2 linked regions of the Ovis aries genome follow. The protein of the gene in region 1 purifies or fractionates together with the protein of each later gene. This does not show direct contact. Links are inferred from orthologs where the notes say so. Each region holds a gene or a part of one and is shown on either strand. Other genes may lie near its edges.

Evidence for each region. Proteins that work in one complex are often made in the same cells at the same time.
Region 2: the proteins of NUFIP1 (region 1) and ZNHIT6 purify together in Homo sapiens (affinity purification with western blotting; 3 studies listed by BioGRID and IntAct, with this or other methods). This does not show direct contact. The link is inferred for Ovis aries from reciprocal best matches to the Homo sapiens genes NUFIP1 and ZNHIT6.

What each region holds. Positions count from the first base shown.
Region 1 is NC_056063.1:15,536,224-15,539,976, reverse strand, and holds the start of NUFIP1 (FMR1-interacting protein NUFIP1), read left to right. Parts: upstream 1-1,155; 5' UTR 1,156-1,190; coding exon 1,191-1,596; intron 1,597-2,577; coding exon 2,578-2,660; intron 2,661-3,753. Other genes in the region: GPALPP1 (GPALPP motifs-containing protein 1), read right to left, coding at 881-968. UniProt on the Homo sapiens protein: Binds RNA.
Region 2 is NC_056054.1:62,697,841-62,701,493, forward strand, and holds part of ZNHIT6 (box C/D snoRNA protein 1), read right to left. Parts: intron 707-3,653; coding exon 582-706; intron 1-581. UniProt on the Homo sapiens protein: Required for box C/D snoRNAs accumulation involved in snoRNA processing, snoRNA transport to the nucleolus and ribosome biogenesis.

The DNA of each region.
Region 1 (3,753 bases):
TCACTGTGGAGGGCCTGGGTTCAATTCCTGGTCGTGGAAATAAGATCCCACAAGCTACGAGGTGCCTTCCTCCCTCCCCAAAAAAGTTTTCAGAAATGGAATAAGGCCCGTGTGTGACTGCAAATGTAGCTGAGATGAGTGGTATGAAGGTCACTGCAGATGAAGAGAATAAAGTCAGAGTAAGAAAGGTTCAGGTTCCACTCAGCTTCCGCAAAGCAGTATCTGGATGTTGGGACTTGTCTCAAGAAAACATCTGCACCCCAGTTTTAAAACATGATCTCAGGGGACAATTCTCAAAATTCAGTTTTCCAGAGTAGTCAAATAAAATTAATTTGGTCCATCTCAAACCTGTGTGCTAAATAAAACTTTTCTTTAGTCATTGTTGAAGGGAACTTTCCTTGGTAAAATAAACACCTAACTTTTTAAAAACCATAGTGAAAACAAGATCTGGAAAGAAAGCTCTAGGTGGAAACATGGCCTCTGGGTAGTCAAGAGTGCAAATTAGATTCAGAAATGGGAGGGTTATTCTTTCAGCTTTACTGTTTCCTAACTTCAGTCAGCCCCAGGCTACACATCAGAACAAACAAGAAAGGAGATGGATGCTCAGGGAGGGGTCTGAGAATCTTTTTTTTTTGGCAAATACGAGGTACCAGTTATGTGTTAAGACTAGAGGACTACTGAGTAATAGGTGTAGACAGCTATATCAACAAGTTATCTCAAAAGTTTATTAAATACCTGTTGTATTTAAGTAGAAAAAAAAAAAACCCCATGGGTAAAGAGGGGGCGTGACAGTTTGCAAAGCCTTCATTGAGCTGACGTTGAAGTTAGGGCTCAAAGGATGAGAGAGGGCCTGGCGGGCGGGTAAATCGCCGCCGCTTACCGGGGCTGGAGTCCCGCTCCTCGTCCTCCGCCGACCCGCCGGCCTTGAACCCGGGCGGCAGGGCCGGCCCAATCAGATCCCTCGCCATCCGCGGGGTCAGACACTGAAGACGCACACAAGTGTCTCCAAGCAGAGTCAGAACTCCACGACGGGCAGCCAGCGAGCCGCCGAACGCTAGGGAAACTCTTCCGGCGCCGGCCGATGACATCGCAGCTTGTGATTGGCTGATCCTTGCTATTGGCGATAACGGAAGTGACGCCTAAGGCTTGCTGCGCACTCGCACGCAGGGTTGACTACCAGGCGGGTGGCGATGGGCGACCCGGCTGGTGGTGCTGTTCCTCCCGCCGGGTGGTTCCCAGCCCCCGAGCTGACCCCGACGCTGGGGCCTCTACGCGACCGAGCCTCGCGGCCGAACAACTGGATGCTGTGGGCGATGCCGCCGCCGCCGCCGCCTTCGTCGCTTCCCGCAGCAGGGTCCGAGCCTGCCTTAGAGGCACAGCCCCGCGAGGAAGCCCGCACTTTCCCCGGGGCACCTCCCCCCTTCGACGCCCACATTCTCCCCGGGGCGCAGCCCCCCTTTGACGCCCAGTCCCCCTTCGATTCTCAGCCTCAACCCAATGGCCAGCCTTCCTGGAATTTCCAGGCTTCAGCGTCACGGTACTGGACGCAGTCTCCTGGTGGTTTTCCTTGGCATCAGCAGCCCCACAGCACTCCAGGTAGGTTGTTAACGCCTCTCCGTACCACCCCTTATCTTTCTTTTCCATCCCTATTTCCTCCTCCTCTTCCACCCTTGTTCCCCTCTCCTCTTCTGATACTGCCTTGCACTCCGGTCATTAATGTCTCACAGTTTGTTCCACAGTTACGTTTTCCCGACTTGTTCATTTAGTTCAGCAATTATTTGGTTAATTCCAACTATGAATCAGGACGTGAGGGTACAGCAGTGAGCAAAACATTCAGGAATTCTTATCTTAGGCCTTGGCATCTCCTGGTGTAAGATGGCAGACAATAAACAAAATAAAGCAGTGTGTATTAGAAGGCAGTGAGTGCTGTGGAGAAGGAAAGCAGAGTCACAGGCAGTGCAGATTTAAATGTCAGTCAGTCATGAGTAAGGTGACATTGGAGCAGAGACTTAAGGGAGGTGAGGGATCAGTTGTTCTTTGTCTGACTCTTTGCAGCGCCATGGACTGTAGCCCACCAGGCTCATCTGTCCATGGGATTTCCCAGGCGTGAATACTGGGCTGGGTTGCCATTTCCTTCTCCAGGGGATCTTCCCGACACAGGGATGGAACCCGAGTCTCTTGCAGTGCATATGTCTGGGGGTTGGCCATGCAGGCAGAGAGACTTGTAAGTGCAGAACTTGTAAGGCAGGAACTGTGTGTGAATCACTATTCTTCCTAGAAAGGGTGGAAGTGAAAGTCGCTCAGTCGTGTCGGACTCTTTGTGACCCCATGGATTGTAGCCTGACAGGGTCCTCTGTCCCTGGAATTCTCCAGGTGAGAATTCTGGAGTTGGTTGCCATTCCCTTCTCCAGTGGATCTTCCTGACCCAGGGATCGAACCTGGGTCTCCTGCATTGCAGGAGGATTCTAGAAATGGTGGGCTGCCACTATTTTAACTCAAGTATTTATGATGTGCTCTAGCAAAATATTAAATAATCGTACAGTTTTTAACATTTGTGAATCTCTCTTTGTTTTCCAGTTAAACATTCTTATTTTCCACGAAAGCATGATGCAAGGGTCAATGACTTCAGCGTCTCTCCCAGAAGAAAACAGAAAAAAAAGGTATTTTTAAAGATGTTCTTAAATGTGACACTTTGGTCCCTATGTCACTGCTTCATATCTCATCTGTCAGAACTGTTGCTGTTTTGCATTCATCACTGACACACCATAGCTTTGCTATAAAAGTATCTTTAAGAGTCTTGGCTGTAAGTAAAAACTTCAAGCAAAATCTTCTTGTGAAAAAGTGGAGAAATTGTACAAAAAGAAAACAGTCGATCCATTTACATTTAGTATCAGGAGTAAATATGGGGAATTATGATTACAGATAAATGTAAATGTTATTGAACTTCAGTAAAGTAAAAAATATATGCTGCAGCTGCGAAGTCGCTTCAGTCGTGTCCGACTCTATGTGACCCCATAGACGGCAGCCCACTAGGCTCCTCTGTCCCTGGGATTCTCCAGGCAAGAACACTGGAGTGGGTTGCCATCTCCTTCTCCAATGTATGAAAATGAAAAGTGAAAGTGAAGTTGCTCAGTCTTGCCCGACTCCACTAGCAGCTTGGGAGGGGAAGGATGAAATGAAAAGTTTTTGTGTATTTTCAACCCTTGATTATATTCAGAAACTGAGCATTAAAATAGACTTCCTTTATTCTCATGTAGCTTAACAATCTGGTCTTTCGACTTTTAAGATGTATAAATAATGTCATTAGAATAAATTGAATAAGATCTATATCATGAAGTTACTACCCTTCATTTTGGTATCAAAAGTGTATTGCTGATATTTACAAAATACTGTGAGTGTATAATATATTTAATAACATAATCTCAACATTGAACAATTGGAGTTTACTTCCTATATAGTCTTATCATTGTAATAATTTTTTTGTTTTATGTTTAAACATAAAAATAGTAAATTGAGAATAAGAAAATATTATTTACCTAGTTTTTTTTTTTTCATTTAGTAGTTATGTATATATACACACACACATTGTTTTATTTATCCTAAAGAAAGAAATGCTGTTTTTACCCTGAATATTTATTTTTAGGTTATTCTGACATATGCTCTACTGCATTTTAATTAGATTACCAATTTGAAATCTATTAATGGTTTATATTAACTCTATTCAGATTAAAATTTTTTTTGGCCATGCCTTGT
Region 2 (3,653 bases), on another chromosome or scaffold:
TTCTTTTTCTTTTTAGAAGTAATTTTTAAATTTTATTCATCTTTTAGAATTTACATTCAGCTACATAATTAGTTTCAACAGTAACTGCAAATACGGATAAGTCACCTTATATACGAACATTTTACACATACCATTGCCAGTTTTGGTACTTCCTCCCAACTTCACTACTCATCAAAGAGGGAAAAGTATAGAATACTAAAAATGTTTTGTGATCTCTCATTTTAGGAATCTCTAAGGAGTTTTAACTAGGGAATAAATTTATCTGATCTTAGACAGACTGTTACTTAAAGATTATTACCTTAGAAAAAGACAAAATACAAAAAATTCCAAAGAGGCAAAGGACATCTTTTTAGAGGCAGACATTCAATGATTCATTCATTTTAAGTTGATAAAAGCTTACAAGCTCTCAAACAGGACAGAAGCAACAGCTCAATCATATTTTTCTTTATAGCATTATCTGTAGTTACAGAGGAAATTCAGTTAAGTGTGTAAATACAGTGGAAAAATATATAAAGACAATCACGTAACTGTTTCAATTTCACCCGTTATTTAAAAGTTACCAGGAAGAAATTTACACTCACCTTGGTGAAGAACTTTCATGTCATTACTGTATTCTTTTAATACTACATGTAATGTTGGGTACTCAATGATCACTTTGCCCCTCAAATTGTCAAGGAGACTTTTGTCAGGATCCAGCTCATAATATCTTTTAGAAAAAAAGCAAAATAAAAATAAAAATACCCTTTTATTTGAAGTTATTCATAAATAAAATGAGTTCCTTATATTAAAAAATTTTACATGGAGATGACAATAATTCAATAACTGTTTCCTTATAATATAGTAAGTTTACCACCACTAAGAAAATTGAGTAAAAGAGCTATTATTATGAGATCCCAAAGTAAATCAAAAGCATATCAAATAATTTGATATTAGGAAAGCTCTAGAATAAGTTATTCATTTTCATCTTAAGGGATAAAGGCTTTTATATAATATCTATATTTGATGTGTCATTAATTTTTCTTGGATACAATACTGACTAGCTAAAAACTCAAATTCCTCAAATATATTTAGTTTGAGCCTTAAAAGATAACCAAACAACTAGCCCTGATAGTTTATAGTAATATATGGCAGTAAAATAACTGGCTATAAAATACTCTGTAAAAATTTAATTCTAAATTATATTTTCCAAAATTTATATTACTATATAATTAAATCTGGCTTTCCTTTATTTTGAAATTAAAAAAAAACAGGTTTGAGTTTATGAATGAGGTAAAAGCACAAAATATAAGAAATATGGAGTTTATCTATAAAGAATTGGAAACGACTGAGTGACTTGCACTTTTTGGGCTTTCTTGATAGCTCAGTTGGTAAAGAATCTGCCTGTGATACAGGAGAACCCAGTTCAATTCCTGGGTTTCGAAGAGCCGCTGGAGAAGGGATAGGCTACCCACTCCAGTTTTCTTAGGCTCCAGTTTTCTTAGGCTTCCCTTGTGGCTCAGCTGGTAAAGAATCTGCCTGCAATGTGGGAGATGTGGGTTCAATTCCTGGGTTGGGAAGATCCCCTAGAGAAGGGAAGGGCTACCCACTCCAGTATTCTGGCCTGGAGAATTCCACGGATTGTATAGTCCATGGGATCGCAGAGTCAGACACATTTTCACTATGACGTAAACCAGTAAATGTGTCACAGGAAATTAGATGTTAATATTCCCTAAAGACGGTAAAGCATTCGGTAAAGCGTCTGCCTACCATGCGGGAGACCCGGGTTCGATCCCGTAGTCGGAAAGATCCCCTGGAGAAGGAAATGGCAACCCACTCCAGTATTCTTGCCTGGAAAAATCTCATGGACAGAGGAGCCTGGTAGGCTGCAGTCCATGGGGTCGCTAAGAGTTGGACACGACTGAGCGACTTCACTATCTATTCCTTAAAGCATGAAATTCTCAAGTCATTATTTAAAAACATTTTTTTTTTTCAGTTGATTAAAGATATATGCCCCTAGCATTCTTCCTTGCTTGCTCTCTGAGGTAGGAGAATTTCAGCTAGCTCATTAGGAGCTGTTTAAGATAATGTGCTGGCATGTGACTATCACGTCATGACCAAGAGGAAAAACCTCAGAACCTCCACCAGTGTAGCGCAGAAGTTCTCCAACTTTTTTTCTCTTATCTCCACAGATGACAGATGATATTCACATGCAAAGCACATATACCAAGAGATACCAGGCCTGACAGCTGAAACACCATCCTCCTTTCTTCCACTCAAGAAAGTACTCTGAAATACCAGTGATCAAGAGTGAGGCTGCTATTGAGATACATTTGAATCTGCTGTAACTTTAAGAGTAAAACATTCAAATTTTAGTATTTCTTAATTAGCAACAAACTGTTTGCACCACACTTTGCAGCTGACTGGAGACAGGCAGCACACTACACTCTTGGTGTAGCGATTCCTCTGTATGCTAACTCTGTCCCATGCACTAGTTTTTCAATGAGGGAAAACAGAATTTCTTCACAAAATGCAAAGCTGAGCCCACTACAAAAACTGATTTCTTTTTAAGAAATGACTGACAAGTGAGAAAACAACTGTAAACCAAAACTTTACTTATGTTTGCATGACCACAATTAAATTCTTCGCTTTAGAATCACAGAATATTTTATCTGTTGAAAAGAAACTTGAAATGCAAAACATCAGTTTTCCTAAACTAGTCACCCTCGTGCCCATAGGCCACAGAACGTGTACATTCTTTTCCCTGTGTAATATAATACAGACGTGTTTACGATATTTTAAAAGTGGTTCCAGCCTTCAAGGAATAAATGTTTCACATCTTTTGCACGTTATTTCCATTTGAAACAAGCCATATTTTTTTTTTAAGTTAACAGTGATTATACAAAAAAGAGAGACTGAATTAGATATAGATGTATACAATTAACTTTTATAAAGTAAAATATAAAAAGGATGTAACTCAATTTTTCTTAGGAGAAAGTAAGACTTGAACTTTCAAATAGGAAGTTTTCAAGTGGCATCCTACAAACACTTGTGGTAACTTATCTTCTGTACATTTTAACTAAATCATAAGGCTTCTATTAAGAGACATTTTCCAAATAAGGGAATGTTTTCTACATATTTAATTATTTTTGGTAAAGAATTTTCAGTTCATATCTAATGTTTTAGGTATTTTCTTTGTAAAATATTAAATCTTCGTTAAGCTTCTCTAGACTTCCAAAGTTAAACAATTAAAATAAACCTGGTCAGTTGTGTGATTTTAATTAGAATCACTGAATTTTACTGTTTACTAAAAGATGTTGCAAACTTATCATAGCAATATTGCTATCGAGTGTCAATCAGCTTGGAGACCTGTTTTCCAGTTTGTCACTTAAAAGAGGTCAGACTTCACTGAAATTCTGAATTTCTTTGATTTTTCTTACTAGTGGTTACTCTTAGTCTACCATTAATATTTGCCAGTAATTAGGAAGTAAATTATATAAACTGTTTTATAAAGAAAGGCTATTAAACAGAAATATGGTAATGTTTTGTGGACCTGGCGTTTAGTTAAAGGAGGAAGTAACTTTTGCTGGTTGCTTGGGTTTGGAGTCTAACACTCAAAGTCCTGGCTCCATCTCTTACTGGTCTGTGATTCTTGACAAGTTACTTCTCTAATTCCT